Caenorhabditis elegans: one gene and its partners. The protein of the gene in region 1 binds, or shares a complex with, the protein of each later gene. Each region holds a gene or a part of one and is shown on either strand. Other genes may lie near its edges.

What was found.
Region 2: eif-3.L (region 1) and eif-3.C share a complex: the UniProt entries of both Caenorhabditis elegans proteins name them as parts of the eukaryotic translation initiation factor 3 (eIF-3) complex.
Region 3: eif-3.L (region 1) and eif-3.H share a complex: the UniProt entries of both Caenorhabditis elegans proteins name them as parts of the eukaryotic translation initiation factor 3 (eIF-3) complex.
Region 4: eif-3.L (region 1) and eif-3.K share a complex: the UniProt entries of both Caenorhabditis elegans proteins name them as parts of the eukaryotic translation initiation factor 3 (eIF-3) complex.

Annotation. Positions count from the first base shown.
Region 1 is NC_003280.10:5,616,250-5,624,194, forward strand, and holds eif-3.L (Eukaryotic translation initiation factor 3 subunit L), read right to left. Parts: upstream 6,233-7,945; coding exon 6,160-6,232; intron 5,549-6,159; coding exon of another isoform or gene 5,543-5,548; coding exon 5,416-5,542; intron 5,367-5,415; coding exon 5,093-5,366; intron 5,050-5,092; coding exon 4,882-5,049; intron 4,839-4,881; coding exon 4,485-4,838; intron 4,400-4,484; coding exon 4,230-4,399; intron 4,181-4,229; coding exon 3,943-4,180; intron 3,887-3,942; coding exon 3,674-3,886; downstream 1-3,673. Other genes in the region: dhs-6 (Hydroxysteroid dehydrogenase-like protein 2), read right to left, coding at 1,031-1,284, 1,329-1,552, 1,599-1,812, 2,348-2,726, 2,798-2,969, 3,018-3,031; npl-4.2 (Nuclear protein localization protein 4 homolog 2), read left to right, coding at 6,648-6,791, 6,843-7,208, 7,271-7,462, 7,510-7,945. UniProt on the Caenorhabditis elegans protein: Component of the eukaryotic translation initiation factor 3 (eIF-3) complex, which is involved in protein synthesis of a specialized repertoire of mRNAs and, together with other initiation factors, stimulates binding of mRNA and methionyl-tRNAi to the 40S ribosome.
Region 2 is NC_003279.8:9,974,008-9,982,599, reverse strand, and holds eif-3.C (Eukaryotic translation initiation factor 3 subunit C), read left to right. Parts: upstream 1-2,937; 5' UTR 2,938-2,939; coding exon 2,940-3,040; intron 3,041-3,088; coding exon 3,089-3,322; intron 3,323-3,403; coding exon 3,404-4,289; intron 4,290-4,335; coding exon 4,336-5,453; intron 5,454-5,504; coding exon 5,505-5,862; 3' UTR 5,863-6,174; downstream 6,175-8,592. Other genes in the region: Beta-catenin homolog sys-1, read left to right, coding at 40-575, 632-857, 1,089-1,415, 1,467-1,971, 2,024-2,106; T23D8.3 (Protein LTV1 homolog), read left to right, coding at 6,314-6,496, 6,828-7,268, 7,922-8,038, 8,087-8,533. UniProt on the Caenorhabditis elegans protein: Component of the eukaryotic translation initiation factor 3 (eIF-3) complex, which is involved in protein synthesis of a specialized repertoire of mRNAs and, together with other initiation factors, stimulates binding of mRNA and methionyl-tRNAi to the 40S ribosome.
Region 3 is NC_003279.8:4,441,485-4,448,600, forward strand, and holds eif-3.H (Eukaryotic translation initiation factor 3 subunit H), read left to right. Parts: upstream 1-3,234; 5' UTR 3,235-3,245; coding exon 3,246-3,362; intron 3,363-3,407; coding exon 3,408-3,530; intron 3,531-3,576; coding exon 3,577-3,772; intron 3,773-3,819; coding exon 3,820-3,919; intron 3,920-3,968; coding exon 3,969-4,263; intron 4,264-4,505; coding exon 4,506-4,772; 3' UTR 4,773-5,129; downstream 5,130-7,116. Other genes in the region: C41D11.3 (Cysteine/serine-rich nuclear protein N-terminal domain-containing protein), read right to left, coding at 185-278, 328-443, 1,121-1,367, 2,060-2,533, 2,583-2,672, 2,802-2,858; cps-6 (Endonuclease G, mitochondrial), read right to left, coding at 5,178-5,529, 5,785-5,939, 5,996-6,118, 6,628-6,804, 6,851-6,970. UniProt on the Caenorhabditis elegans protein: Component of the eukaryotic translation initiation factor 3 (eIF-3) complex, which is involved in protein synthesis of a specialized repertoire of mRNAs and, together with other initiation factors, stimulates binding of mRNA and methionyl-tRNAi to the 40S ribosome.
Region 4 is NC_003283.11:12,950,847-12,957,341, reverse strand, and holds eif-3.K (Eukaryotic translation initiation factor 3 subunit K), read right to left. Parts: upstream 3,341-6,495; coding exon 3,165-3,340; intron 3,118-3,164; coding exon 2,919-3,117; intron 2,740-2,918; coding exon 2,646-2,739; intron 2,594-2,645; coding exon 2,387-2,593; intron 2,278-2,386; coding exon 2,231-2,277; 3' UTR 2,113-2,230; downstream 1-2,112. Other genes in the region: mpst-7 (Rhodanese domain-containing protein), read left to right, coding at 1,900-2,055; pqn-68 (D-aminoacyl-tRNA deacylase), read right to left, coding at 4,154-4,345, 4,401-4,604, 4,648-4,704; T16G1.18 (uncharacterized protein), read right to left, coding at 5,319-5,405, 5,913-6,005. UniProt on the Caenorhabditis elegans protein: Component of the eukaryotic translation initiation factor 3 (eIF-3) complex, which is involved in protein synthesis of a specialized repertoire of mRNAs and, together with other initiation factors, stimulates binding of mRNA and methionyl-tRNAi to the 40S ribosome.

The DNA of each region.
Region 1 (7,945 bases):
TCGGCTATTTTTTGTTTTACATAGCTTCACATAATAAAGTTTATTTTTTGACACAATAACTCTGTGAAACCGAATTATGTAGACGGGCGGCCACCTCGACGTGATATTCTTTCACTTTGTGACGTATATTCCTAAGTTTGTCTAAGTTCATTTATATTAAGTTCCCATGTGTATCCAATTCCCTTGCTCCAGAGTGATTTTCTGGGCTCTTTCACGTCAGAACTTTGTAGATGGAAGAAACCTTTTTTAGAATTCTGAAAAAAAGGAAGTGAGGTCGATTATTAAATAAAATAGAAAACAGTTGGAGGAAAAGAATAAATAACATAAATGATGATAAATGAGGTGATAGTACGCGCAGAAAACAAGAAATCAGATAGAGTGAACGAATATTGATGACATTTTTTGACAGTTGAACGATCAGAGTCTATTGACTGTAATTCATTATATTACAGTTACAATAAAATCTTGTATTGGATACGGGAAACGAGATTGTCACTGATTAAAGTAAATTGATTTTATGTGTTTCATCTTATGAAACTTTTATCTTTAGTTAATTCAGAATTACTAAATGTCGAATTTTAAAAAAATACGGTGCCCGGTTTCAACACGGCACGTGTTTGTTAAATGCGAAAAGGTGTGTTCCTTCAAAAAGTACTTAAAAATGTTAAAATTTGTTTTTACATTTTTAATCGACAAATATGAAAAGTTTTCTTTAAATTAGTTTGAAATTACATATCTCTTTAAAGGCCCACTCGTTTTGTACAGAAAAATAACGTGTCGAGACTGGGCTGCGTATTTTTGGCGCAAAAATTGCAAAAGTCGCGTCTGGGTAATATCACCAACTAAGTATCTCGGCTCACATCATACTAGAATTACGGTTCAAACTTTGAAAATTCATTCAAAAGATCATATCTAAAAATTAATTTACAAATAAAATTATCATGTTTACAAGAAATATACAAAAAAACCAATTCAAAAATAAAAAAATACTCCAAAGTTTTCAATTTATTCTACAAAATGCATCAGTTATTCACAGTTTTCCTTCGGTGAACTTGCGGAGAAGGCTCTCCAATTTCATTGCTCCTGGCATATCACCGGAGATTTGGAGCTTCTTTGTCATCAGAGCAGTCGTCGGACGGAGTTTTCCAGTGAAGAGTGGAGCGAAATGTTCTGGAGCAAGTGTGAATTTAACATCAGCTTTGCCTGAAGCCTTCTTATCTGTCAGTGCTCCTTCTCCGTTTTTCAAGTCCAAAGTAATGATTCTCTCGCTTTTTGTAGTTGGGTCTAAAGAAATTCATATAGAACTATAGATTTCAAACGGAATTGACCTTTTAACAAGAATTCATACACGAATCCAGTTTTCTTTACAATATCAGCATTAAGCAGGCGCTTTGCAGATGTGAATATCTGTTTGATCTCTTCTTCAACAACTCCGGCTTCGTGAGTCTTATTCTTTTTTCCGATCTGTGCTCCAGATGAGAACTTGTGATCGTAAGTTCCTGCAGGAATAAAGAAATCGGGCATCAATGGAGCATCTGGCACACATGCATATCTGGAAAAATTAATAAATTCCAATTATCCAGAAAATGAGCAATTACCTATCAAAATCAGTAACTCCTTCAGCTTTCAGAATATCTTCATCAATGCAGAAATTTCCAGTAAAATCCTTGGAGTTTTTGGATAGAACTGCATATGCTGCATCAGCCATAATTGATGGTTTACGGCTTCCAGCTTCTCCTCCTTTGTCAGAAAGCATTTCCATTGCAGCAGTCCAAATTGCGGTCAGTGGCCATAGAGCGTTCACAGCAATACCTGAATTATGGAAATTAAAATAACGATGAAAATTAATATTTTACTATTATAAATGTTCGATATACTGAAATTTCTTACACAAAAATATGGTACTCGGTACGTACAAAAGTATGTGCACCTTTACGGGGTACTGTATCCAATGGTGGCATTTTTCGACTTTTTCGATTTTTCGATGTGTTTCAGTGAAAATCGAAAAATCGAAAGTTTTCGATTTTTCGATTCTATGGAAAATCTAAAAATCGAAAAAATGTTCAGAAAATTGATTATAAAATTTTTTATCTAATTTTGCTTATAATGATGAGAAAAAACATAGAAATTTCTTCTAAAAAGAGGGATAATGGCCAAAATATTAAGCTGATTTTTGAAACATCGAAAGAGAACTATATTATTAAATTTTTCGATTTTCAAAAAAAAACCGAAAAACGACTGTAGCCCCTAACACTTCGGATAGTTAGGAGCTACAGTACTCACTGTACGTATTTTTTAAAAATATTTCGAGATTTTCAAAAATCGAATATTTTTTCAAATATATTACCATGTGGTCTGAATTCTTCATGCTGCCCGAGAACACACATCGACATTCCATACTTGGCCATTGTATAGGCAACATGATTAGCAAACCAGCGAGTCTCCATCAAAAGTGGAGGTGAAATGTTCAGAACGTGCGGATTCTTTCCAGATTTCAGATATGGCAAACAAGTTTTTGTCATGAGGAATGTTCCACGTGTATTGATCGAGTGCATCAAGTCGTAGCGCTTCATTTCAGTATTTTCTGTGTCGGTAAGTGAAATTGCTGAAGCATTGTTGATAAGGATATCAATTCCTCCGAACTTTTTTACAGCTTCTTCAACTGATGCTTTCACAGAAGCTTCATCTCGAACATCGACGATGCATGGAAGGGCTTTTCCTCCGGCCTAGAAATAATTGTTTTTTGTTTAAAAAAACTTCCTTAAAATTATTTATATCCAGCAATTTTCTATATTACCTTCTCAATCTCTTCAGCAGCAGAGTAAATGGTTCCAGGAAGTTTTGGATGAGCTGTGGCTGTCTTTGCTGCCACCACAATATTTGCACCATCTTTTGCCAATTTCAGTGCGATTTCCTTTCCAATTCCTCGAGAAGCGCCAGTAATCAGAACTGTTCGCCCGACAAATTTTCTGTAGAATCAGAACTTTATTATACGGGAAGTTATTTATATAACTCACCCAGTGTTGAACATTTTATTATTGACACTGTCTTCAAAGGATTACTGTAGAATCTGAAACTCCGAAATTTAGAATTAATTCGGCGAGCCAAGAAGAGAAACAATAATTTTTTTTAATTTTGAAAACAAACGGGAAAAAAAATCGGGATCAATGGAAAAGATTGTTGTTGTCCTCCTGTTCTACTTATCTTCCCTCGAGACTGGAGACGCAGGCATAACTAGTGGGAGAATACACATAAGACTACGTTCTAGGTGAAAACCATGGACCTATAGGTCAAAGTACAGTCTATCACTGTACATACAAGACTACTCGTAAGAGAGATTAATAATTATTCGGAAAAAATTGAGAAGTAGTTGCGATGAGCGTAGAATATAAACAATCATAAATTAACTTCATAAGAAAAACCAAAAAAATTTACTAAACTTATTATGAACCATGGATACAAAATAATTGGGAGATAAGAGAAAAAAAGGAAGTTTAGGACCAAAACGAAAAGACAACAACAGGAGAAAGTGGTATAAATAAACGGAGAGATGTTTTTAATTTTCAACAAGAGATATAATGTTAACAAACGAGTGGGAGTTGGTGTGAAACTAAACGAAATTAACCGGAAATCAACCAGTCATGTTTCGTTTAGCTCAAATACTTTTTAAGGATCATGGTTTCTGGATATCGAGTCGTTTGAGCACATCCTGAACCTCTTGCAACTTCTGAATATGTCGAATGAAATGTTCACCGACGTGACGAGCAACTTTGGTATCGGCAATATTGATCATATCACGGTCTACGTAAAAGTCAATATCTGTTTGTGGCTCATCGTCGTCTGCTGATGATGGTCCGGCTTCTTTGCCAAGCTCATTGACGATCATCTGAAATTCAAAATATTACATCAACACTCGAGATCATCGGAAATTCTTATATATACCTTGTAAGTGAGAAGCTTTCCAATGAACGAATCATAGTGCTCATCATCAACATCCATGAACGACGCAAGCTTCTTAGTTGGAAGTGTTGTGTAAAGTTTCAGGTATCCACGAAGAACTGGTAACGCCATCTGTGATTCAATACCTTCCAGGAAAGATTGAGTTTGACGAAGAAGTGGTTCTTTCGATTGGTTGACTCCCTCATAGACAACTGTGGTTGGAGACAAGAACTTTGGACATCTGCAACAATACAATACTATACAATTACTTGACTAATTTCGTTTCCTACCCAGTAGCAAAAGCATTTCTGAATTCATCGATATTCCCGTTCGCCATGTGCATCATACGCTCACCACATCGCTCCGAAAGCTGAGAAGCAATGCTTTCATCGATTCTTTGTGGCTGGATGGCGAGGCAGATTGCAAGAAGATGGAAAAGCTGATCCCACGTCTTTCCAATCTGAAATCGGCAGAATATTATTGGGTCTTCATTAGATATTCAATTATTGTGCAAATATTGTGCAAAAAATTTAGAAAGTACTCACAACATCATATTGGAAGTTCTTTTTCGATGGCTGCTGATTTTGAACACTCTTTGTTCTTTGAATATAAAGCAGACAATTGACGAACATCTTTGTAGCTTCTCCGTAATTTCTCATCATCAAATGAGAAAATCCAACAAAGTAATGGAGAGTAACAAGGCAAGTTGGAACTGTATTGTAGATTCCTTTTGGATCAATATCCACGTATTGCACGGTTTTCAAAGCCTGATGATAGTCTCCTAGAAGAACGTGAGTGCGGAGAAGTCCGATGAGAGCGAAATATCCAAGCTTGAAGTAGAGATCCGATTGACCGAATTCATCGGCGACCGAATCCGGATTGCGTTTTTCCTGGAACGACTGTAGAGTTGAAAGCAAAAAAATAATATTGAATTAAACAAACCTTCAATGCCTTGAGCTGCTCCACAATTTGGGATTTTGATAGAAGCGAATAGAGAATGTTGAGAACTGGATAGATATTCCACGCGTTCTGATTTTCTTCGATATTGATGAGATCTTCAACTTCATCAGCATTGCGTTTTCCTGGGTTAGCCTTGTAGAGACAGAATGCCTGAATATTTATATTACGTACAAACTCTACCAAAAAATATTACCTGGAATTGATAGACGAATTCGTCGATAATATCCCAAAGCCACACGTTAGGGAGAGACAATGGAATTGGATCCTTGCTTGAGAGAAGCTCAGAGAATAACTCTTGATAGTTCATGAACGACTCATAGCGATGGACAAGGAGTGGTCCACGAGTATTTCTTGCATACAGCTGGCGATAATAGAGTTCCTTGTAGAGAATTATGAACAACTTGTTGCCAGGTCCAATAATTCTTTCGACAACATTCTCATCGGGCCACATGCGATCACGGAAGAATCTGAAATTAAAAGATAAATAGAAAACAATTTGAGATTATTAAATATTACCTCTCGGTGAGATCTGGAAAAGCTTGATCGTAGAGAGTCAAAATTTCCGGCACATTTTGTTCGTCAACCATGCGGGAAAAGTAGACCAGGTAGTCGGCGACCTCATTTGGAACTCCATCCTCATCGGCTGAAGCTGTTAAAAATTAAGAAATGAGATAAGTTTGTGTTGTTAACAAGCACCTAAATAACTACCATAAATATGTTTATAGAATTACTCTATTGATTGATTATCAATTTTTCTTTTGAAAAGATTTCACAATGCACGATCATTGATCCTCTGATACTCAACTTCTCTCTCGGGCTTTTAAATGATTAACTTCTTATGAACTCTTATGAACACCTTTTCATTTATTATTTCTTTCAAATGAATAAAGCTGTGATTCATTTAATCTGAGATTTGAGGATATTCGACACCGAAAAACACTGAAAATGACAAAAGTAGTCATTTTCATATACAATGAGGGAGTTCTGAGAATTGGCATTGATTCTTCACTGTAACAGTATTTGGAAAATTTGGTTTTTCTGAATTTTATGTATTTTGCTCATGGAATGTTAATCTGCAGTTTTTATGCAAAATTATTTCAGACCAAATTCTCCAAATGTCTGTTTGCCGAATTAAAATAAATCGGTTAATCAAAAAAGGACCGAGTCTTCAGTCTTTTCGAACTGTTTCAAATTTTAACATTTTTCAACTCATTTTACTCTTATTCATCAATTCTGAAAAATAGCATTCTGTGAACTTACAAGAAAAGGTGTTGGTGCGACGACGATCAGAGTGATCTTCAGTGGATAAATCGAATTCCACGCGTCGAGACATTACTGAAAGAAGGTTTTTATATTGATATTATTTAAATGTCAAACTAAATTCGAAAAGGTACGCTAAAATTAAGAGAAAACATTTTTTTAATTGTAAAATTTGATGAAAGGAATTGGAAAATGTGATGGAAAAAAGAAAATTGCAAGCGTTGCATGGGATTTCGCAAGAGTGCCGCACGGTTTTTTGTGTACGCATTTGCTCGTCATTCATGTTGTCTAGGCAGTTTTGATGACATTTTTTATTCTAAAAACAAAATGTTTTATTTCATTTGCTGTTTAATGTTTGAATATGTATGGAAACTAATTTGATACCCTTTCCGCTGCATTATTTTTGCAAAATCTCAAAATTATATATCTTCAATTCACTACCTAGAAGGCATATCTTCCTGCATTTAAAAATCTATTTTATTTCAGATATGGTAATTGAAGTCCCTCAAACTGAGCGTGTCAACGACGTTGATGTTTTTTTAAGCACGCAAGATGGTCAAATTCAGCGTCCAAAAGGGCCCAACTGTCGGCATCCTGTACGTCAAAAGTGCACTAATTGTTTGCCTGTTGATGTAAGTGATATTTTCTGTTGTTTTCATAGAAACTAATATCAATATTTACAGCCATTCGATGAAGAATATTTGAAAGAAAAAGATATCAAGCATATGAGCTTCCATGCACATGTTCGCAAGCTCCTTGGATCCCAGGGGAAGGGCACGACTCTCAAAAAACCGCTGGAAAACTTTCGATGTTCATTAAAACCCAACTGTGATGCTCACAAGCCGTTCCCGAAAGGAATTTGCACTAAATGCAAACCACAGGTTGTAACATTGAATCGTCAAAAGTTTCGTCATGTTGATAACATTCAAATTGAAAATCAAGAGCTTGTAAATCAGTTTTTGGATTATTGGAGACTATCGGGCCATCAGCGTGTTGGATTTTTAATTGGACAGTATCAGCCTCACCTTGAAGTTCCACTAGGAATCAAGGTAAGTTCAGTACTTCATCACTCATTTCTTGAGACGAGTTATTTCATTGCTCATACTTTCAGGCTACAGTGGCTGCAATTTATGAACCTCCACAACACTGCCGTGAAGATGGAATTGAGTTTTTGGAGGATAAAAATCAAAAAACTATTGACAATTTGCTGGAAATGCTTGGCTTGCAACGTGTTGGATGGATCTTCACAGATTGTTGGACAGCTAATAGTGCTGAAGGAACTGTACATTATACACGGCACAAGGTGAGAACAATCTCGAAGAGAAGCCCAAAAAACGAATAATTTTTCAGGATTCCTTCTTCCTATCAGCTGAGGAATGCATCACCGCAGCAATGCTTCAAAATCAACATCCAAACATCACAGAGTACTCGATGGATCGTCACTATGGATCCAAATTTGTGACCGTTGTTGCATCTGGTGATGAATCGATGCATGTTAATTTCCACGGATATCAAGTTTCAAATCAATGTGCGGCCATGGTTGAAGCTGATATTCTCTGTCCAACACTGTACACTCCTGAATTGGCTTATGTTCGAGAGACACCATTATCCGAAGAACATTATATAACTGATGTTCAATTTTCGATGAAAAATGAATACGGAGCCGAGGTTATGAAAAACGGACGACCACTTCCAGTTGAATATTTGCTGGTGGATGTTCCTGCTGGAATGCCAAAAGAGCCTCACTACACGTTCCACGTTGGCACATCTAATAAATCGAAGAGTG
Region 2 (8,592 bases), on another chromosome or scaffold:
CTCAACACAAATTACAGATTTCAAATCATATTTTTTCAGGCTCAACTCTGGTATAATCTGTTGGATATTCTTCGAAGATTCACATTTCTACCCATTATTTCACCATATATTCATCAAGTTGTTCAAATGTTTTGTCCTCGAGAGAATGGTCCACAAGATTTTCGAGAATTGATTTGCAATTTGATTTCGTTAAATTGGCAAAAAGATCCTCACATGAAACACTGCGCAAATCAGGTGTTTCAAATTTTCAACTGTATCATAATGGGAGTGAAAAACGAGAAATTGAGAACAGAATTCGCTCAACATTTGAAATTCGAAAAACTCGTTGGCACTCTCTCCGAGTACTTTAATCCTCAAGTACACCCGGGAATGATAAATCCAGCAATTTTCATCATTTTTCGATTTATTATTAGCAAGGATACTCGATTGAAAGATTACTTCATATGGAACAATAATCCACATGATCAACCTCCTCCGCCAACAGGATTAATTATAAAATTGAATGCTGTAATGATCGGATCGTATCGATTGATTGCAGGCCAAAATCCTGAAACATTACCTCAAAATCCAGAATTGTAAGTTTAAAAATGAAAAATTCCTCCATCACTAACAAGTTATATTAATTTTCCAGAGCTCATCTTATCCAAGTTATAATCCGAACATTTGATCTTCTGGGTCTTCTCCTTCATGATTCCGATGCAATTGATGGATTCGTACGGTCTGATGGAGTTGGAGCAATTACTACTGTAGTACAGTATCCAAACAATGATTTGATAAGAGCTGGATGTAAGCTCTTACTTCAGGTCTCTGATGCAAAAGCCTTGGCGAAGACTCCATTGGAGAATATATTACCATTCGTAAGTTTTACGTTTAGAAAATCACTGGACTATTAGAAAATTATTTATGTGTTCTTTTACTTTAAAAAATTATACTAGATGCCCCAAACCTATCTAATTCCATAGTGATACTTCACTTTTGTAAGAAGTTTCATTATTAAATTCGGTCGTTTCAGGCTAGTTTTAGTCTATTCAAATTAAAAAAAAACTTCTCTCCCTTCAAATAAACTGTTTAAAACCGGAAATTTTCAGTTACTGAGACTCATCGAAATTCATCCGGATGATGAAGTTATCTATAGTGGAACAGGATTTCTGAGTAACGTAGTGGCTCATAAACAACACGTAAAAGATATTGCTATACGATCCAATGCAATTTTCCTACTTCACACGATAATCTCAAAGTATCCACGACTAGATGAACTTACCGATGCTCCGAAAAGAAATCGAGTTTGTGAAATTATTTGCAATTGTCTGCGTACATTGAACAATTTCCTGATGATGTGGATTCCAACGCCCAATGGAGAAACGAAAACGGCTGGACCGAATGAAAAGCAGCAGGTCTGCAAATTCATCGAAATTGTACGTTTTGGAATTTGAAAAACGATATAAAAATGAATTAAATTATTTCAGGATATTCTGAAAAAACTGATGAGTTGTTTATCATGTGAAGGAATGGATACACCTGGTTTATTGGAACTTCGAAGTACAATTCTCCGATCTTTTATACTGTTACTCCGAACACCATTTGTTCCAAAAGACGGTGTTCTGAATGTTATTGATGAAAATCGGAAGGAAAATTTAATAGGACACATTTGTGCCGCCTATTCATGGGTTTTTCGTCAACCGAACAATACAAGAACTCAATCCACAAAGCAGCAACTTGTTGAACGTACCATAAGTTTATTGCTTGTGCTCATGGAGCAATGTGGAGCTGAAAAAGAGGTGGCACAGTACTCGTATTCAATTGATTGCCCATTAAATCTGCTGAACGGAAATCAAGTGAAACCAACGTTTATTCACAATGTGCTTGTTGTATGTGACAAGATTTTGGAGCACTGCCCGACGCGTGCGGATATTTGGACGATTGACAGGCCGATGTTGGAAGGACTGACGAATCATAGAAATTCAGATATAGGTATGTGTCTCGAAAATGTGTTCATAAATTAAATTACAATGCATTTTTTCAGCTAAAGCCGCGAATTCTCTGCTGAGTCGCTTCCCTGAAAACGACCTTCTTGCTGGTATTTTTTCAAATCGAGAATATTTCTGATTTAATGGATAAATCTGTCAACTCCATCTTTCATCCCAAAAATCCCCGTTCAAAGCCATTAATTCGTCTAGTTGGAAGCTGTTTTAGCGTGTACATAGTCGTATTATTGATTAAAATATGTTCTCTCTTCTTTTCTTCATTTTCTACCGGTCCCAAATTTCCTCATTCTTGACGATTTCATATGAATTCGAGTTTAGAACAAACAAAACGTTCCGATTTTCCTAATTTATAGCACATTTCTTCTCATTTTGCCCTCGGTTTATCTCTTTCTTTTTGTTGTTTCTTTGTTTACGTCTGTAGCATAATATTTTTGAATACAAAACATTTTCGCGATTATCTTTGCATTTTAACTATCAAATTCCTGTCTTATATACGTCTTTCTTCGATGTTCTTACGTTGAATAGAAAATAAAATTATAAAACTTTTTAAATGTTGGATTGATTTACTGAATACTCGGTTCATATATAAGTTATTTAGAGACTATTCTCGTTCTGTAAAATTAACCTGAAATTGTGGAATTGTGATTAAATAATAAATTATTATTTAAATCTCCGCGCAAATGCCCACTGGCGCAAGTGGCGAGTGCTGACGCATCTCCCGTGCACGCGAAACGCGCCAGTAAGGTCTTGCAACGATTTTCTTATGTTCCACTTCCACTTAAATTTATTTCAGCTAAATATTGACCCATTAGCTGTTTTTTGAATTGTTTTCAAAGGGAAAATCGTTTTATTCATTTTAAATTTTAAATAATATTGGAATTTCTGTCTAATTGTGTATCTACTGCTTGTTTGCTTCTTGTTTTGGGATTTCATAATGTCAATTTTGTTTCAGCAATGTCTCGCTTCTTCCATGCTAAGGAGGACTCTGATTCCGACACTTCGTCCAGCGAGGATGAGGTAGAGGATCAAAAAGTGAACAAAAGCGCGAAATTTCGGTAATTATAATCTCCAAAGTAATTCCAAAAGATTGATTAATCTTTCAGCGATGATCTCGATTTCATGGCCGGTCCTGAAGAAGATGAGAAGCGTGTTGTTCGTGCCCAAAAGGACAAAAAATTCGATGAGCTGAAAGGAATTATCAAGCAAAATCGAGATGCAAAGAGCAACAAAGATCTGAACAGACTTCTAACAGGTTTTGATTCTCTGGCCAAAGCTTATGATAAGTCCAAGACGGTCTTTCAACGTCAGAATGTCGCAAATCCAAGATTTTACATAAGGTGAGATATATTTTTAATTTACAGTCACATCATAAAATAAAATGCTAATGAAAACTTAGTAGTTGATATAAAATATTTCAGGTCTCTTGTGGAAATCGAAGACTACGTAAATAAATTATGGGATGATAAAGATGCTAAATCTGCTCTTTCGAAGAACAACGCAAAAGCTCTTCCACCTCTTCGTCAAAAACTGAAAAAATACATCAAGGATCAACAACTGCAAGATCTTGTTACCGATTATCGCGTTAATCCTGACGAGGATGGATATGAAACTCCAGAAGATGAAGACGACGATGATTTTGGAGAGGTTTCTGAATCGAAGGCTGAAAAGTCACCTGGAAAACCATCTGAGAAAGCTGCAGTGAGCGATAGTGACAGTGACAGCGACGATGACGACTCCTCTAACTGGTCTTCTGAACCAGAATCCAATTCTTCTGATGACGAAGACAGTGTGACTAAGATGGAGCAACTTCGTAGGTATTTCTTGAAAAAAGAATTCCGCGTGGAGAGCAAAGATGACAAGAAAGAAAAGAAGAAGAGAGTTATCAGAGTCAAAGAAGCTGTCGAGGAAGACGATGATGCGGATTGGACTCCAGTTAATCGTGAGAAGTCTGTTGTTCACTTTGATCCCAAGGAAGAAGTTACTCATGACGTTATGATTAAGAAACTCAATGAGGTTATGTCGGCTCGTGGAAAACGAACGACAGATCGTAATCAACATGTTGCTAATCTTCGAAAACTTTTGGAGGTATCGGAAGAGAAAGAACTTGGTCTAGGAATCAACGTTAAAATCAGTTTCTGCATAATCTCGGCTCTTTTCGAATTGAACGCTAAAATTAGTGATCACATGGAGTACGAAACATTCATGACCACTCTGCAAACCGTCAACAGCTTGCTCGATCTTCTCATCGGAACTGATCGTGTAAAGTTATCTGTGACATATGCTGAAGAAGATGAAAATCTGAAGGTAATACTTGCATTCCTAAAATTAATAAAAATCCTAATATTTGCAGGATGACACTCAAGAGTATCGCATTCAAGGAAGTATTCTGATTGCTGTGCAAAGATTGGACGGAGAGTTGGCTAAAATTCTTCAAAACGCCGATTGTCATTCCAATGATTATATCGAGAAGTTGAAGGCCGAGAAGGATATGTGCTCACTCATTGAAAAGGCCGAGAAGTACGTTGAACTTCGTAACGATTCTGGCATTTTCGATAAACACGAAGTTTGCAAAGTGTACATGATGCGCATCGAGCATGCCTACTACAAATATCAAGATCAAAATGAGGAGGATGCTGGAAAGTTGATGGATTACTTGTGTAATAAGATCTATACACTTGATGATGAGAAACGATTGAGACAACGTGCTATGCTCTGCCATGTTTACTATCTGGCTGTTCATGACAAGTGGCACCGCGCCAGAGATCTTCTTCTTATGAGTCACATGCAAGCTATCGTTGATCATTCTGATGTCGACACTCAAATCCTCTACAACAGAACTATCTGCCAACTCGGTCTCTGCGCTTTCCGACACGGTTTCATTCGCGAAGCTCATCAAGGACTATCTGAAATTCAAAATACCCAACGTGCCAAGGAGTTGCTTGCTCAAGCTGTTGGAACTCGTCAGCACGAAAAGACTGCTGAACAAGAGAAGATTGATCGTTCCCGTCAAGTTCCATATCATATGCACATCAATGTTGAACTTATGGAGTGTGTCTATCTGATCTGTTCGATGCTTCTCGAAATTCCACACATGGCTAGTTGCGAATTCGAAATGCGTCGTCGTATGCTCAGCAGAAGTTTCCATTACCAATTGAAGCAAAGCGAGAAAGCTTCTCTCACTGGACCACCAGAGAATACCCGTGAACATGTTGTCGCCGCATCGAAAGCAATGTTGAATGGAGATTGGAAAAAGTGTCAAGACTATATCGTCAATGACAAGATGAACCAGAAGGTCTGGAATCTTTTCCATAACGCTGAGACTGTTAAGGGAATGGTTGTGAGACGTATTCAAGAGGAATCTCTCAGAACTTATTTGCTCACATACTCTACAGTTTATGCCACTGTTTCGCTCAAGAAGCTTGCGGATTTGTTCGAACTTTCAAAGAAAGATGTTCATAGCATCATCAGGTATTTGTAATATTTTACTAGACAGTACATAATTTTTTTTTATTTTTTCAGTAAAATGATCATCCAAGAGGAACTTTCGGCTACACTTGACGAGCCCACCGACTGTCTCATCATGCACCGTGTTGAACCTTCCAGACTTCAAATGCTTGCTCTCAACTTGTCTGACAAACTTCAAACTCTTGCCGAAAACAATGAACAAATTCTGGAGCCGCGCACTGGACGTGGTGGTTATCAAGGTCCAGGATCGTGGTTTCCAGGAAGGAACGAGCGGCAAGGAGATAAGCAGAAAGGATCTGGTGGATACCAAGGAGAACGACGTGGAGGACAAGGACAAGACGGAAAGCGAGGAAATTGGGGATCTCAAGGTGGTCAGCAACGTCGTCATCCTCAAAAGCCACGAGCCTTCTAAATATCCATTTTTCAATCGTCTCTCCCATTCGTGGAACCCGCTAATACGCCTTTCATGGCGCCTGCAATTAGTCTCAAAAACTTTTTGCAGGCGCCAATACTTGTTGAATCTTTTATTTAATTGATCAGTTTTTTTGGTAATCCCCCACCCTTTCCCACTTTTCCTTGTTCAGTGTGAGATCTGAACTTTAAAGCTCTCATTTTTCGTTTCCGGTTAGTAGTGTTTAAGTTATACTCTTTCCATACTGTTTTGTTTTTGCTAATTATTTATATTGGGTTGCCGGATATTATTTTAATGAAATATTTAATTTGATTCGTCCAATTTTAAGTAATTTTTTATGAGCCCCGGTTCTGTCCAATCAGTTATTTTCTCAGATCCAACAATAAAAGTAACAAAAAATTAACATAGAATTCATATTTCAGGTTACTGGAAACATAAATTTCGCCTCAAAATGGGTAAAAGGAAGGCATTCATTGATAAGAAAGCCAGTCAAAGTTTTCGATTGGTTCCGGATAATAGGGAAAGAAGTGAACGATTCAAGCCAACTCAAGAACATTTGGAGGAACAGCAAAAGTATGGAGTCTACTACGACGATGATTATGATTATTTGCAGCACATGCGAGCTGTTAATGAGGTTTGTCATCTTAAAATCAATTTGATCAAATACCGAAACTTAAAAAAAAGTGTTTGTTTTTCGATTTTTCAATGAAATCAAAAGATTTTAGGATATGTCAAAAAATAGCTTAAAATTTTGGTCTTTGTACTTCTTTTAAGTAAAAAATTTCTATGTTTTTTTAATCAGCATTTTTTACATTATTTCATAAAATTGAATTTTATGGATGATTAAAAAAAAGTTTTCCATATTACGGAAAATCAAAAAAAAAACAATTTTTCGATCACCTCTTTTAGAACATAATCGAAAAACAATCTTCTTGTATTGGTAAAATAATCATTTAAATTTTCAGCCGATGAAGCTGGAAAATGTTCATGAAGAAGTCGAGAAAACGACCATCAAAACGAGTGGTTCATCAGCATTCCCACCAGCTCCACCACTTTTCGGACTTGTCGGTGCTCTTAAGAAACCGGAATTTTTTGACGAAGATGTTGCAAATGCGTTGGAAGAGGTGACAGATGATCGTAACACCGGAGAACTTGAAGATAATTTTATCACACTTGCTGGTGGTCTTCTTGATGAAAGAACTACAGTTTATAGAAGTACAAGACGAGGTGAAGATTCGGAAGAAGAAGAGGATGACGATGAAGACGATGAGATGTATGATGATTATAATGATGACGAGTTATTTGGAGAAGAGGCTGTTGGAGAGATTAGAGTTGAAAGAGCTGATCAAAGAGTTATTGATAATGCTTTTGAAGAACTCATGGATCGTGAATACAACACCGATCAGGTATTATTTCAGAATTATTGGCTTGAAAAATATGATAATTAAACTTATTTAAAAATCGAACAGTTTTCGAAAAATGCCATAAATTTTCGCCATTTTTCCTCTCTTTAGAATGAAAGGATATGTTTTTAATTTTTTCTCTTTACCATAAGAAAGACTTGATTTAAAAAAAAATGATTTTTTGACTAGATTTTTTTTAAAAAATTGTTCTTAGATTTTTTGGTTTTCCGGAAAATCAAAAAAAAACTTTTAAAAAAATCAAATTTTTCGCTTATCGGCTTTTCATAGAAAACGAAAAAATTTAGATTTCCAGTAAAATCGAAAATTGAAAATTGAAAATTTTTTAATTTTTAAAAATTAAAAAATCGAAAATTATCGTTTTTTAGTTTTTTTTTCGGAAAATTCTTTAAGTTTTGGCAAGTTTTCCTCTTTTTAGAATAAAATAATCTTCAACATAAACAAGACTTGATTTAATGAAACATACATTTTTTAGTTTTCTCAAAAAATTTTTCAATCTTTCGGTTTCCTCTAAATAAACTCATTTTTATGAAAAATAAACTTCAAGAAAATTATGTGTTACCAGAAAACATTCTACTTTTATTTATTATTTTTGAGATTTAATCTGACCCAGTTTTAAAAAATGAATTAATTTTCAGATCGGAGAGCTTGATGGTGACGACTATGATGTTGGAGGAGCACTTGAACCGAACGCTGGACGACTTCACAAACTTATAAATGACAAAGGACCTTCAAATGCAGAGTATGATGAAGAGGTAGTACTTTTCAAAAGAATTATTTTCATTCATCATTTAATTTTACAGCTCGCCAAGCATTATGTACGTGAACGAATGCGTCTCATTGAAGAGGGAGTCATCAAAGACAAAGAAGAATACGAGATTGTGGAAGTGGATGAGGGTACAAATAAGAAAATGAAATGGGATTGTGAATCATTTGCTACTCAATACACTAATATCTACAATCATCCGACACTCATCAAGGAGCCACGTGGTTTATCCAGAAAGGCATTGAAACGATTCGATAAAGCTGTTGAAGAGATGGATATTGCTGAAGAAGATGAAGATGATGATGAGGATATGGAGGATGATGATGATAAGGAAAGCGTTTTTTCAACTGTTTCTACTTTCCGACCAAAAAATGAAACTCCGGAACAGAGAAGTCTGCGGAAAAAAGCTGTAAAAGAGGCCAGAAAGCTGAGAAGAGTTGAGAAAAAGGCTAACAAGACTATGTTCGCCGAGGAGAAACGAAAGGTAATTTTTCATATTTCATATTGAAAAAGTATGAAACAACTAAAAGAAAATATTTTCAC
Region 3 (7,116 bases), on another chromosome or scaffold:
CGACTTTCCGGAAAATCGAAAATGTTTCGTTTTTTTTTTTGTTGAAAAACCGAAAAAAAAATTATTTGGCACTTGAAAAATCACTTTTTTGTTGAAATTTTCCCCCGATTCCGTTTTTATTTAAATTATTTTTCAAGACGAGATTTCAGATTTTTAGCATTTTAATATTTAAAAAATTTCAAACCTCCTTCAGTTGCACTGTAATAAGTTTCACCAGACGTTGACCGGGCCACTAACGCCGGAGGAGCTGGAAGAACAGTCGATGACGTGGATTTTAACTGAAATTTTTTTTTTTGCAATTTTTTGAATTTTTGTAGTAAACTCTACCAATTGACGACTTCCAGTTCCATAAGTTTGAGCGATTCGTTCAGTGACAGCCCTTGGATTAAATATCGTTGATTTGAACTTCCGCATCGGGGTTGACATTGTGGGAGTTGGTACTGCTGAAATTTTAAGAGTTATAGAGAATGTATATTTAAATTTAAAATTTTTTTGTGAAAATTTTGAAAAAAAGAAAACCTTATTTTCAATATAGTGATGCAATTTTAAAACAAATTTCCGAAAATAATTGTTTCTCGCATGAATAAGTTAATATTTAGCTGTCACTTCGCATTATTTTGGTACTTTTTGGTTATTTCTGTGAAGTTGCAAAGTATGGATTTTATTTTAAATATTTTAAAAGATGTGACAGGGAAACGTTTTTTTCTTAATTATTTAAAAAAAAACGGAATATTTTTTCTGCAATTTTTTTTAAACATGCATGTCTAATATTTTTTCTAAAAATAAAAACCATCGTTTGCCAGATTTTCATATTCTGTTTCGCATAAAAAATTCAATAAATTGTAAAATATCGAATTTTTTTCAGAGTTTTAGGAAATTTATTCCAGATTATCGAGTTTCTTTCGGAAAAAATTGTGAAAATTTGACAAATTGTGTGTTAAGAAAACATAAAGAAAAAAAGAACAATAAAAATAGCCGGAAAACGCAAAAATTTCAGCTCTTTTCATTTTTTTTTCTTGAAAAATCTAAAAAATTCTATAGGTATATTGAGGCTATTTTCTATTATTCAGGATTTTTAAAACATATTTATGTTTATTTTTTTTCAGGCTTTCATAAAAACCTTTTTCAATTTCCTTTTCCTCTTCGAGCCGAATCGAAAACGACGAGATATATCGTTTTTTGAGGGGACTTGTCGAACGATTTTCCGAATCTTGACGAACTCGTTTTTTGATTGGCGAAGTTATTGGCTTTTTCGTAGGTGATTTTGGAACGAACACGTCATCATCGATGGTACGGGTCTCAGAAATGCCACGTGGACGTAAACGTTGTGGAGTTAAAATTGGTGGCATGTCGGATGAAAAGAGACACTGAAATAATATTTTTTGTTATTTTCAGAAACTAGTTTTATATGATTGGGCGGCAAACGATTTTTTCCGGCAAATCGGCAAATCGCCGGAATTGAAATTTCCGGCATTTCGGCAAACTGTGCTGTTGCACTTTTTATTGGAAACTTCAGAATTTCAAGTTAAAGACGCGAAATTGTACGCCTCCTATTACGGGAACACAAAATTCTGATGATGCGTATTTCACAACATATTTGACGCGCAAAATATCTCGTAGCGAAAACTACAGTAATTATCTAAATGACTACTGTAGGTCGATTTAAGGGCTCGATTCTCGAAATGAATTAAAATTATTTATTCATCGATAGATATTTCCAAAATCAAGCCCGTAAATCGACACAAGCGCTACAGGAGTAATTTGATGAATTACTGTAGTTTTCGCTACGAGATATTTTGCGGGTCAAATATGTTGTGTAATACGCGTTCTCAGTATTTTGTGTTCCCGTAATATAAAAAAATATGTTCCTACTTCTATTTTGAAAAGTAAGGAAATTCTATGAAAATATCTAGAAAAACGGGAAAACATTTCAGATTGCCGGAATTGAAATTTCCGGCGAATCGGCATTTGCCGAAAAATCAAATTTTCGGAAATTCGCCGAATTTTTCGAAAAAAAATTTGCCGCCCAGCTCTGATATGATTCAGTTGAATATATTACCGTTAATGAAGATGTTCTCTTCCTCTTTAACACAGGAGTTAAGCTATTTCCAATTTCCATTCGTATTGGAACATCAAGGGACTGGGCCTCTAATCGTGGCATTGACCCGGATCTTCGGTATCTTTTAACTGGAGAACCAGGTGTTTCCACATCTTCTTCTTGCCTTCGAATCCTTTCAGGCGTCTGTCTCAACAGCATTGATCCACTACTAGATCGACGCATTGGCGGTGTTACTTGATCTTCCAGGCTTGGAATACTCTCCGGAGCCAGTTTTCGGATCGGTGTCTGGTGGTCCTGTTCTATCCGCAATGGAACCATTGGCTTTTTCTCCATTTTTATGGGTAATGCACTAGTCTTTGTTCGAGTTAGACTAGGTACACCGGCTCTTTTGAGACTCGCTGCTACAGAAACCATCGATGTTGAATGGGATAGGAAGGATGAGGACGATGATGGTGGTGGGATTGTTCTCTGAGACTATTATGAATATTATTAAACAAAAATGCTGGAAACTTGAGGGTTTTACCTCCAAAGAAATTGAAAAAGTCGATTTCAATTGGCTCATTCCCGCCATTCGTTTTAATCCTCCACGTGGACTTGGTGGAACCAATGGTGTCTGAAACAAATTTACAATTATTTTTTAATATGCATTTGGTTATAATATTAAATCTTCAAATGGATTCCAATAAAGCTAGTTTATTTAAGAATTGTGTTTTATTGATTTTTTTTTCATAAATGCGCTTACCTTTATTATTTCATTATTTGTAGGTTTATTAGGGTCGTTGGATGCACTCGATTGCATCTGAAAATATACAATTTCTCTTAAAAAGTTTCAAAAAGCATTTTAAAAAGTAAATCCCAAAAACAAAAGAACGACAAAAATTTGAATTCAAATCAAAAGATCACGCGCGGGTACGGTGTGCAATTGTGTGCATGCACTACAATTGACGCGCAGTTGCACACAACAACGGAAGGAATTAATTTCGTGGAGTGTTTCCTATTTTCAAGATTTTATTGATTATTTTGAGGTTTTTCTCGCCAATTTTCTGAAATTTATATTTTTAATTTTCTTTCGAAAAATTCGTGATGCTTAGATTATTGATTTTTCCTCTTGTGAGATGCATGTTATTGTTTATTGTTCTTTAGAAAATTTGAAAAACTAAATGCTCATCTTTCAGGGTTATCAAAAATGTCGACAGCAGTGACAATTACCGCTCCGAGCGTCAAGCATATCCTTTTGGATTCGCTTGTGGTTATGAAAATTGTGAAGCACGTGGACAGTGAACTTCATGCAGGAATTAGTGAGGTATATTATTTTAATTTAATTTCAAGCTTAACATGTAATTTACAGGTATCTGGAGACGCTTGTGCCGGAGTTCTCACCGGTCTTGTTTTCCTTGAAGATTCTCGCTTGGAAATCACCAATTGCTTCCCAACAGTTCGCAACGAGCCAGTTATGGATGACGATGCTAATGTAAAATTAGCTCATGCTAGTGATTCCAATATATTTTCTATTATAGGCCGCTCAACAATACGAAGAGCAAAAGCAACACGAGATGCTTGACATGCTCCGCAAATTCCGTACAATGAATATCGATTACGAAATCGTTGGATTCTATCAGTCTCATCAATTCGGAGCCGGTTTCTCACACGATCTCGTAGAATCTATGTTCGATTACCAGGCTATGGGCCCAGAAAATGTTGTTCTTATTTATGGTTAGACAGATTAATGAGGATAAATAATTAATTCTAATTGCTTTCAGATCCAATCAAGACTCGCCAAGGACAGCTTTCTCTAAGAGCCTGGCGTCTTTCCACCGCTGCTCTTGATCTCGCTTCAAAGAATGACTGGAGACCAGAATTGTATGGTTTTTGAGTTTAAAAATATATTTGCAAAGACATATCTTTTCAGGGTGAAAGCCGCTGGTTTGACATACCAGAACATGTTCGAGGAGTTGCCAATCATCATCAAATCCTCATATCTCAACAATGTTCTCATGTCTGAGCTTTCACTCGCTAAATCATGCTCTTCTGACAAGTACTCCACGAGACACTTCGATTTGGGATCCAAGAAGTCGCTTGAAAAGTCGGTCCGAGCTATGATGGCTAATGTTGATGAGCTGAACAAGTCAATTCAGTCGTTGACGAAGTACACTATTGACAAGCAAAGACATGATAATATGGTGTTCAGTCTGACGCAGAAAAGAGTAAGAATTTCGAATTTTGAAATTAAAAATATCCTGATTGTATCGCTAAAATTTATATTCCGAAGTGTAACGGCTTTCAAACCTAAAGTCTTGTTTTTTGAAAACCATTTTCCAACATATCGAGGCTCCACTAACTATAAAACCGGATGTGAGGGGTACATTTTCGGTGGAATAAAGGTGCCATTCACGATTTTCGAAAAAAAAATCTCTATCATTAAAAATTTATATTTTTCCAATTTCAGCAACAGGAGAACGAATCACGTGTGGCCCGTGGTGATCCAACAATTCCAATGGATGACATCAAGAGAATCAAGGCTCCACAACTCCAAACAAGAAATGGACTTTTGGATGAGCTTCTCGCCAGTTTTGACACCAACGCTCTCGCTGACTTCTCGAAGACTGTGACCAGCGAAAATATCACGAAAATGTTCATCGCTGAAGCTGTTGCTGAGGAGAAAGTCGCCGGAACAAAAGACAGAACTTTGAGCTCTGTCTCATCGACTCGTTAAGATTCCCAAATATACTCGTGTTTTTGTTTCCTCCCTGTTCCCTTTAATTTACTTTTTCTTTTCTAAAATATTTTTCTCTCGGTGAAAGGAATTTCATATTACATAAAACTAGTGACATAAAATAATGTCTCACTTTCAATATAGGGATATTGTTTTTCATCCAAATTTTTTTGCCGTATGAAATTCCTTTCTGGTATCCTTTTCCACCTTCCCCTATTTCGGATGAATTTTTGTTGTTGACTAATAGTAAGTTAAGATTTTAAAATTTCTATTGGTATTGTTCTTTTTAATTGAGTTTTCAAGTTTTTTCAATCAGTAAATCAAAAAAGTTAACAAAAAATTTATTTGTGAAACAAAAACAAAACAACCTAAACCTAAAATTCACCGGAATCACAATCCAATCAATCACCAAAGTAATCCTCCCTTCTTTGCTCCGTTCTCTTTCACAATGCTCTTAGGGTCCAAACGAGCGAAAATCTCAAGACCCGCACTTCTCTCCACAGCATCCAATGGAACATGGAACTTGGAAATTTCTACAGTATCCTCGATGACTGCGTTTGGCAAAATATAGGATTCCAGCTCGAATTTGCCGGGTGTCACTTCGAAAAGAGCAACTTTGAAGAAATGAGTTGGCACTGCAACGTTATTATCACCGATAACTTGATACTTGATATACTTTTTTCCATCTCCTTCAAGTTTTGGAAGGTAGAGGGGACCGGTGATTATGTAGGAGTTGATCATCTTTTTTGCGACTCTTCTGGAAATTGTAGAAAATTATTTTTAGTATTGTAAAGAAAAATCTTGGTACCAGCTGGTTTCAGACTGGGCTGTAGATTTTTCGTTTTTTTTTCTCAAAAAAATTTTCCAAAAGTTTCAAATTGTATTAATTTTTCAAAAAACAAAATTCTTTAGAGTTACGTGTTTTTGCGAAAAACTTCGTCGACGAGAAAAAAAATTATTTCACATTTTTCGCGTTTTTTTCCCGGCAAAAAACTTTATTTATTTTACCAACCTGCAGTGCATTTCCAAATCATTCCACTTATCGCGATTGAATCCTCGTCCAACTTGTGGGCTCATATTGCTCAAATAAAAAGTTTGATCGACCGCCAACTGACTCTTCCGATGATTTCCAGCGGCGGCGAGATGTCCACGATCGAATCCACTGCACTGAAACATTGGATGGTTCAGAAATATTTTTTATGTAATAATTACGAAGAACTAACCTTATAATCCGTATTTTGAGAAAGGAATTTCTGCGGGAAAGTGATATCTGGCTTGAATTCACAAAGCTTCCGATCCACACCTTCTGCGTGTTTTAATCGTTCTGGTGTAAGATGTTCGCAGACCTGGAAATTCAATTTTTTATTAAAACCGGTCTCGACACGACAATTTTTTAATGTAGAAAGGTGTGCACCTTTAAATAGTACGGTAGGTTCAAAGTTTCGTTGTTGTGGAATATTCATTGATTTTTATAGTTTTTTTTCACGATTGTTAAAATTAATGTGTTTTTTTAAATAAATAAATATTTTTTAAAATAAAATACTAAAAATAAAAATTATGATAGTTTGAAATGACAGTACTTTTTAAAGGCGCACACCCATTTGTTTTATACAAAAACAAAAGGCATGTCGAGACCAAAGCTGCCTTTGTTTTTGGAAAAAAAAAATTTTTGGTTTTTTCGGGACAAAAAACCAAAAAATAAATTACAACACTGATTCAGCAAAAATGAAACAAATTTTTTTTTGGTGGAAGATTTATTTTTGCAGTAGCCCTGCTGGGTACCGTATTTTTGGCGCTAAAACTTGGCGTCCGGTATAGATTTTTGAAATATATTTTCTCATAATTTTCTACTAACCCAGTGTGCAGTTCTTGTCTTATAATCGTAGGAAAGCACGAAATCCTCATAAGTTCGAACATTTGTGAATCCGGGATATCCGTGCTTCATGATCTCTGCCGAACGAGATGGTCCCATTGCATCAGCATTTAGAGATGCTGGTTTTACGGTCATTGGCTCCGAAACTTGGATTTGATTCTGCAAAAGCGGCATTTTTCAGGATTCTAGAAGATTTTTATTAAACCATTGGAACATTGGTGGCTGATTGAACATTCCTGAAGATTGGCAGATCGTCATTCGAATATTTTCCAGCGAGGAAAGATATTCCAGCGATTGCCGCGGTTCCAGCCACCTTGCCGATCATATTTCGGCTGGAAATTAAAATTGGAAAATTTGGAAAAGAAAAATAGAAAAACTGAAAATTCATGTAAAAAAGATATTTTTGAGTAATAATCTACTTCATATTCAAACAGTTTACAATCGAATTTTGTAGAAATATTTATTACTTTT
Region 4 (6,495 bases), on another chromosome or scaffold:
AAACAGAATCAACATTCGTTCTGTGCTATTTTTGAAGCAATAGGTTCAAGTTACATGAAATAATGTGAAATGGATTTTCTAATTTGTAGAAATTATAAGATAGCTCCGAATTCCTACAAAATGCAACAAAAAATGGAATGTTCCTAAGACACTGCGAAACTCATTACTGCACGGAAACAGCAATATGAACATTTGAAGTTGTGGAATTCACCGAATTAATTATATCCTACAAAATAGAGAGAAAAAAAATTTTCAAAAAAAAAAATTTTTTTTGAGCAAAAAAAAATTTTACTCTATAGGCAGTCATCCCCATTTTTCTTCGATTCCTTGTTCATAATCGAGAACTAATGCATTTTGAAAAAAAAGCGATCAGTTGTAACTGAAAGCTGTCAAGTAAGCCTAATACAATGAAAATGAGCAAAAAAATTGACTTTGTGCTCTTCTGGAGCACAAAAATGCTCCATGTCGGCATGGGAATACATTTTTGTAAGTATGGGAACAAATGTATGTGTGGGAATGTCGGCATGGGAACGTTCGACTACTGGATGTAAGCATGGGAATTTTGTATGCACGGGAGAAAATGTATGTATGGGAATGTCAGCATGGGAACGAAAAAAATGGGAAAAATGAGTTGTAGGCATAGGAGTACTTCGACTACTGGATGTAAGCATCAGAATATTTTGTATGCACGGGAGAAAATGTATGTATGGGAATGTCAGCATGGGAACGAAAAAAAAGGGAAAAATGAGTTGTAGGCATAGGAGTACTTCGACTACTGGATGTAAGCATCAGAATATTTTGTATGCACGGGAGAAAATGTATGTATGGGAATGTCAGCATGGGAACGGAAAAAAAGGAGAAAAATTAATTGTAGGCATGGGAGTACTCGAACTACTGGGCGTAAGCATGGGAATTTTGTGTGCACGGGAGAAAGTGTCAGCATGGGAAATGTGTGCATGGGAAATGTGAGCATGGGATAGATTGCCTCGAAAAAACGGTAATTTGGCACGCGGCACTTCCCACACAAACACACCTCCCACGCACGCCAATAATTTTCAGATGTATGATTTTTATGTTAAATTTTAAGTTAAAGAAGTGAAGAAGCGTTTTTGATTGTTTTTGTAGCATATAAAAATTTTCTGTGTCGACACTGGCGCCTAGCAAGAACCTTTGAATTTTTCATGAATTCAACTTTGCGAAATTTACTCAGTTTTTTTGGTTTCGCAAGGCGTAACGACCCACAAAATTATCCGAGCTCAATTTTCTAAAAAAATTCTGGAAAGTCAGGTCAAAACGTCTCGAAAAATACTAAAATGAATTTTTCTGCATACTGCTACTCGCCGCTCACATCCATCTTTCTGGCGACTATGCCATTCAAGACTTAACCTACTGCCGCAGTCCATGACAGAAATACCGTGATAGAAATTATTTGGATTTTTGTTTTTAAAGAATCTCTAGACCAAGAGCATTCTTTGAACTATAAAACTTGTAAGACACTTGATGGATTCCTCGAGAAAAATGTAGAAAAACCGCAGAATGCCGACTTGCGTGCCATAAAGGTCGTGATCTCAAAAGTTCTGAAGGCCTGCAGCGATGCGGATGGGAACATTTTGAAAATTCAAAACGTTCATCTGGTCAGTATTTTATGGAGAACAAAACTTGTACAAATTGATGTAATAACTCTCTTCACTAGTAAAGTTATAGAGCTGCAAACGTGTTACCATACTTTTGGCCCACCCTGTAAACAAGATAATTTCATTGAAAAATGCAAAATTAAAGAAGTACCATAAACTTATTTGCGCGTCGAGACCAATCTGGATGAATCCATGCGTCTTCGAGAAGACATGCTAAAATCTTTTGAAATTATGATAATATTTCTCGCTAGATCATATTCTTCAGATTATATACTGTTCCACGTCACTTCGATCGGCAATGGTTTGGTGGGCTTTGACACGATCTGGTTACAATGGGAAGATCTATTTTGGCGGGTGGCCTGAATGGGTAGTCAGAGCACCTGACGGTTTGAGAGTCATCGGAGCAACGACGGAGACTTGACGCTAAAAGAAGATCCATGTTAAATATTATATGCATAAAATGCGGGTAAAAGTGAATATTGAATAAAGTTCATGAAAACATAAAGGAAATATAAATAGGAAAGGGAATAGAAACGGGGGAAAACCGAACAACAGAAACAAGGGTATTATAATTTGAATGACAGTGATAATTGATATTAAAGAGTCAACGGGGGTTGAATGCTGGTCAGAAGATCGGCGACATCTGAAAATGATAGATGCACTTGAGATTTTACTAGGCATTTTAAATTTGTTCTTCGATTATTAGGACATTTTTTAAATCGTTTGAAAAACCTAATACGCATAATACTCACGTGGGAATTGAATTTTCTCGTCGATATTTCTTGTTTTGATAGTTCCTTCGTGATTTGCAACAAAGAAAACATCTCCATTTTCCTTGGCTTCCCATCCGAATGATTGTGCCAGTGCGGTAACTTCCTTGTCACTGGCTCCGCCGAGAAGACGGCTCAACATTTTCTTTTCGATTTTTTGGAACGTAACACTGATGACGCGACAAGCATCTGAAAACTTGGTATTGAAATTGTCAAGCAATAAAAATAATATTTAACTGACAGTGCTTGACAGCATCCTCGAATCCGACCATTGGCTTGATCATTTTTGGGACTTCGCCAGGAACTTTGAAGGGTTCATTTGGGTTCGTTGTTGGCTGAAATTTTAAAAATTGATTAGTCGTACGCCGAAATTAAAGAATATTCCAAAAATAAATAGATTCAGCATTGAAATAAATACTGAGTTTCAGATGCACACAAAACAAGGTTTGATTTTGAAAAGCTCACTTGTTTCAATATTAGATAAATCTATTCTTTGAAAAGTGTAAAAACTCACTTTATACGCCCCCTTCACCAATTTCCAGAAAACAGCGAAGTTGCAAGATTCGAGCACAGCTCCAAGATCAAAGATTCTGCGAAGTTCTTGAGATCCGAGTCTGTTGGTGTCGATGAGACACTTGGCGAGAGCGAAATCACTCGATGGCAAAACCATCAACGTCTTGAGCAAAACTTGTCGAACAACAGCCTCGTCGTACCTGTGAAAAATTCTCTTTGAAATTTATTAATCTTCTTGAATACTTACTTCTCCGGGTTAAGCTGGTAGAGCTTGAGAATGGTCAAAACGATATCTTTATCGTACTTGTTTTCATTGACCATAGCTTGAACGCAGGCAGCCAAGTCGGCAACATTTTCCGGATTGTATCGGTTTACTCCTTCGATAGCTTCGTGCAATTCCTTTTGCAGTTTCTCGAACGACATCTTAAAAACAAATTATAGCAATTGAAGAAAAGAAACTCTGCGAGAAATAATAAGTAGAGTGAAACTCCTGAACAGACTCGATGAAGTCCTGCGCAAAGTGAAAAAAATCTTGCATAAAGTTGCGCACATCTTTTGTCAAATCGATTAAAATTACGCTAAGTTTCTCCATTAATTAGAAAAAAAGCTACAGAACACATCAAAACTGATAGAAAAATATTTAAGAGAAAGAAAAAAAATTTTCTCAATCAAAATAACAATAGTTTTAAAGGCGCATCGAATAAATCTGAAGGCATATCCTGCACAGATCTTCCTCGATTTTAGAGGCACTCCCCATTTGGGTTAAGAGATTTCAGTGAACTCGATTTGCTATCAGACAAACTGAAATGGAGACGTTTTTCCAAGTTTTTTTTTCAGTTTTTAATGAGATTTACATTAGAAATAAGAAAAAACTATTGTTAGAGGAAAACTCAGCGTATGGGTTTCGCCACGCTGATATCGGGTTACTGTAACTGGTGTCAAATTAAGGGCCACATTTGCCTCATAATTTTCAAATTAAAGGAAAAATTTCTGTTACGATTTATATAATCAAAATTTAATGCAAAATCCATAAATCGACAAAAGTTACAGTAAGTCGTCGTCTGCGTGGTGAGACCAATGTGCGTAAGATATTGAAAACTCGCATTTAAGGTATACGTAATATGAGGTTTTGCCAGAGAATATAAATATATGAAAATAATTAAGATATGATGACGGAATCAAACCGCTGTATGAACAAAATTGTACAAAATTCAACAGTAGTAAAACAAATTTTTATTATTTTTCTTTACTATCAAAAGTAACTGTAACAGGTCCGTCATTTACAATATCGACGCTCATCATTGCTGCAAATTTGCCGTCCTGAATCTTATCAGCTTTGTAAGCTTTTTTCATGGCTTCAAGAAAAGAAGCATAAAATTTTGAAGCTTCTGTTGGGGCCATTGCGGTATGAAAGTCCAGTTTATTTCCCTAAAAAACGAAATAATATGAATAGTTTTGTTTAAGTATATTAGACAAAACTCACTTTAAACTGACCGTAAAGGGTGAACTGACTGACAGACAGCACTTCTAAATCGAGATCCATAACTGATTTATCCCATGGTTTTTGTTCCGAAGCAGGGAAAACTCGTAGATTCAAAATTTTCCTAATGATATACTTCATATCCTCTTCCGTGTCATCTCGATGAACTCCGACAAGCACACACAGACCTCTTCCAATGGAACCTACCTGATTATGATATTTTAAACAATAACGGTTAATATATTCTTACCACTTCATCACCTACGGTGACTGCAGCTCGAGTAACTCGTTGAAGAACTACCTTCATTTCTGAAAAAAATTGAAACAACTAATGTTAAAAATACAAAAAAAAACAGATGAAAACTATTGAAATGTTCTCTTGAAAACCCTAAAAATAAATGAAAAATGTTTGCTAAACAGAGCGCGCTAACGACACTCCACCGTATTACTAGTCCTCAAAGGCTCGGCCAGCGCGACGTGGAATCTGTACACGGTCTCCTTCACAAGAAATGTACCAACTCTCTCGCGGTTTGCTTGCTGGCCACCTTGCCGTTGTTTTCAACAGGAGTTCTTAAATTTGAGCAGAAATCGATGATACGGTAGACTGTAGCAGCTATAGCCTTGATTGTAGAAAGTGGATGCACTTCATAGATTTTGAGCATATATAACTCTGTTCATGTTTGAGATAGAGACTAATGATAAACTGACAAAATGAGCATTACAAAAAGACAGACATTTCTTAAGTTGAGAGTTTTTTGATATCTCTTCTCAATAAAAAGATACGACCATAACTTGATGGCTGTGGTTTTACATGCCACCCTTAATTAAAACCTTACAATCTCCGTTATCTTTAAAGATACAACAATTTTATTAACCAAATATTATGACAAGCAGATTTAAAACAATTTTTACTAACAAGAACTACATTTCTATATACAAAAAATTATGGGGATTTTGACATTTCCAAGTTGGCCATCTTAAACCGGCTATACCACTAAGTCCTGAAACCTGAAATTGATATTTCAATTGGGAACTTATTTTATATGAGATATCTAACAATTTTGTGAATACTTTCTTCTAACTTTTAAAAAAAGTATTTCATGAACTGTTATTTGACTTTCTAATCAATGTAGCTTTTGGGGACATGCAACTAGTCTGTCTTACAGGTTAGAAAAATATTGTCAACTAAAGAAATATTAATCATTTCAAACTGAACATTTTGTTATGTAGTTATCAGCTCTTCAGTAAAGAGGGTACTGTAGTAGCCAGCGTAATCTTTGGACCGAAATTTCTCTCTTTTAACTCAACTAATAAGTTTTTCCATTAGCCGCTTTTCACTTTAAGCCAACTTTTTTTAAATTCAAAAAACCTTCAAAAATCGACAATGTAGTACTGAGTTAACTTAGTACTACATTGTCGACTGGAGTTGATATTTATCCTTTAAATTACTCTTTTGTATACAGACATTTTTATATGTCTTATACTTCAAAAGGTTCAACAAAAATGTCTACATACTAGAGCCGGACGGTAGATCAATATGTGCAAAATAAATGAGATCAGATGTAGGAGTGAGAGACGCAGAGACCGTATGTTTCTCTGCCGTCTCATCTTGTGGAGGAGGCCCACAACATGTCAAATGCTACGTGGCCGTGAATATTAGTTAAACCATAGGCCGGGAACACTGCAATTGGTGGTCACTTACCAGCCAAATTAACCCACTTCTCAACCAACTTTTTTCAATTTTTTCCAATTTTTGCCAACTTTTGGTAACTCTTTCCAGTTGTTTGTTGCAAATTCCCAAAGATTTTTGTTTCGGTAACGTGTTTATGAATATTTGTTCTATAATACTGAAAACATTTTTATACAATTCTTATTGAAATTTTTCTTGAAACAAGTTTGGAAAGTTAACGTAGGTTTTGAAATACGATTGATATCTTCGTACTTTTTTGAGAAACTGAAACAAAATTCAAAGATTTTTATTGAATAGTTTTTGTGAAATCACAGTTTGAAATATATCTTAAATTCCCCCGAATATAATAATTTCCATTATGGAAAAAATCAATTTCACGTTTATTTTTTTTTGAAAGGTCAAATTCCG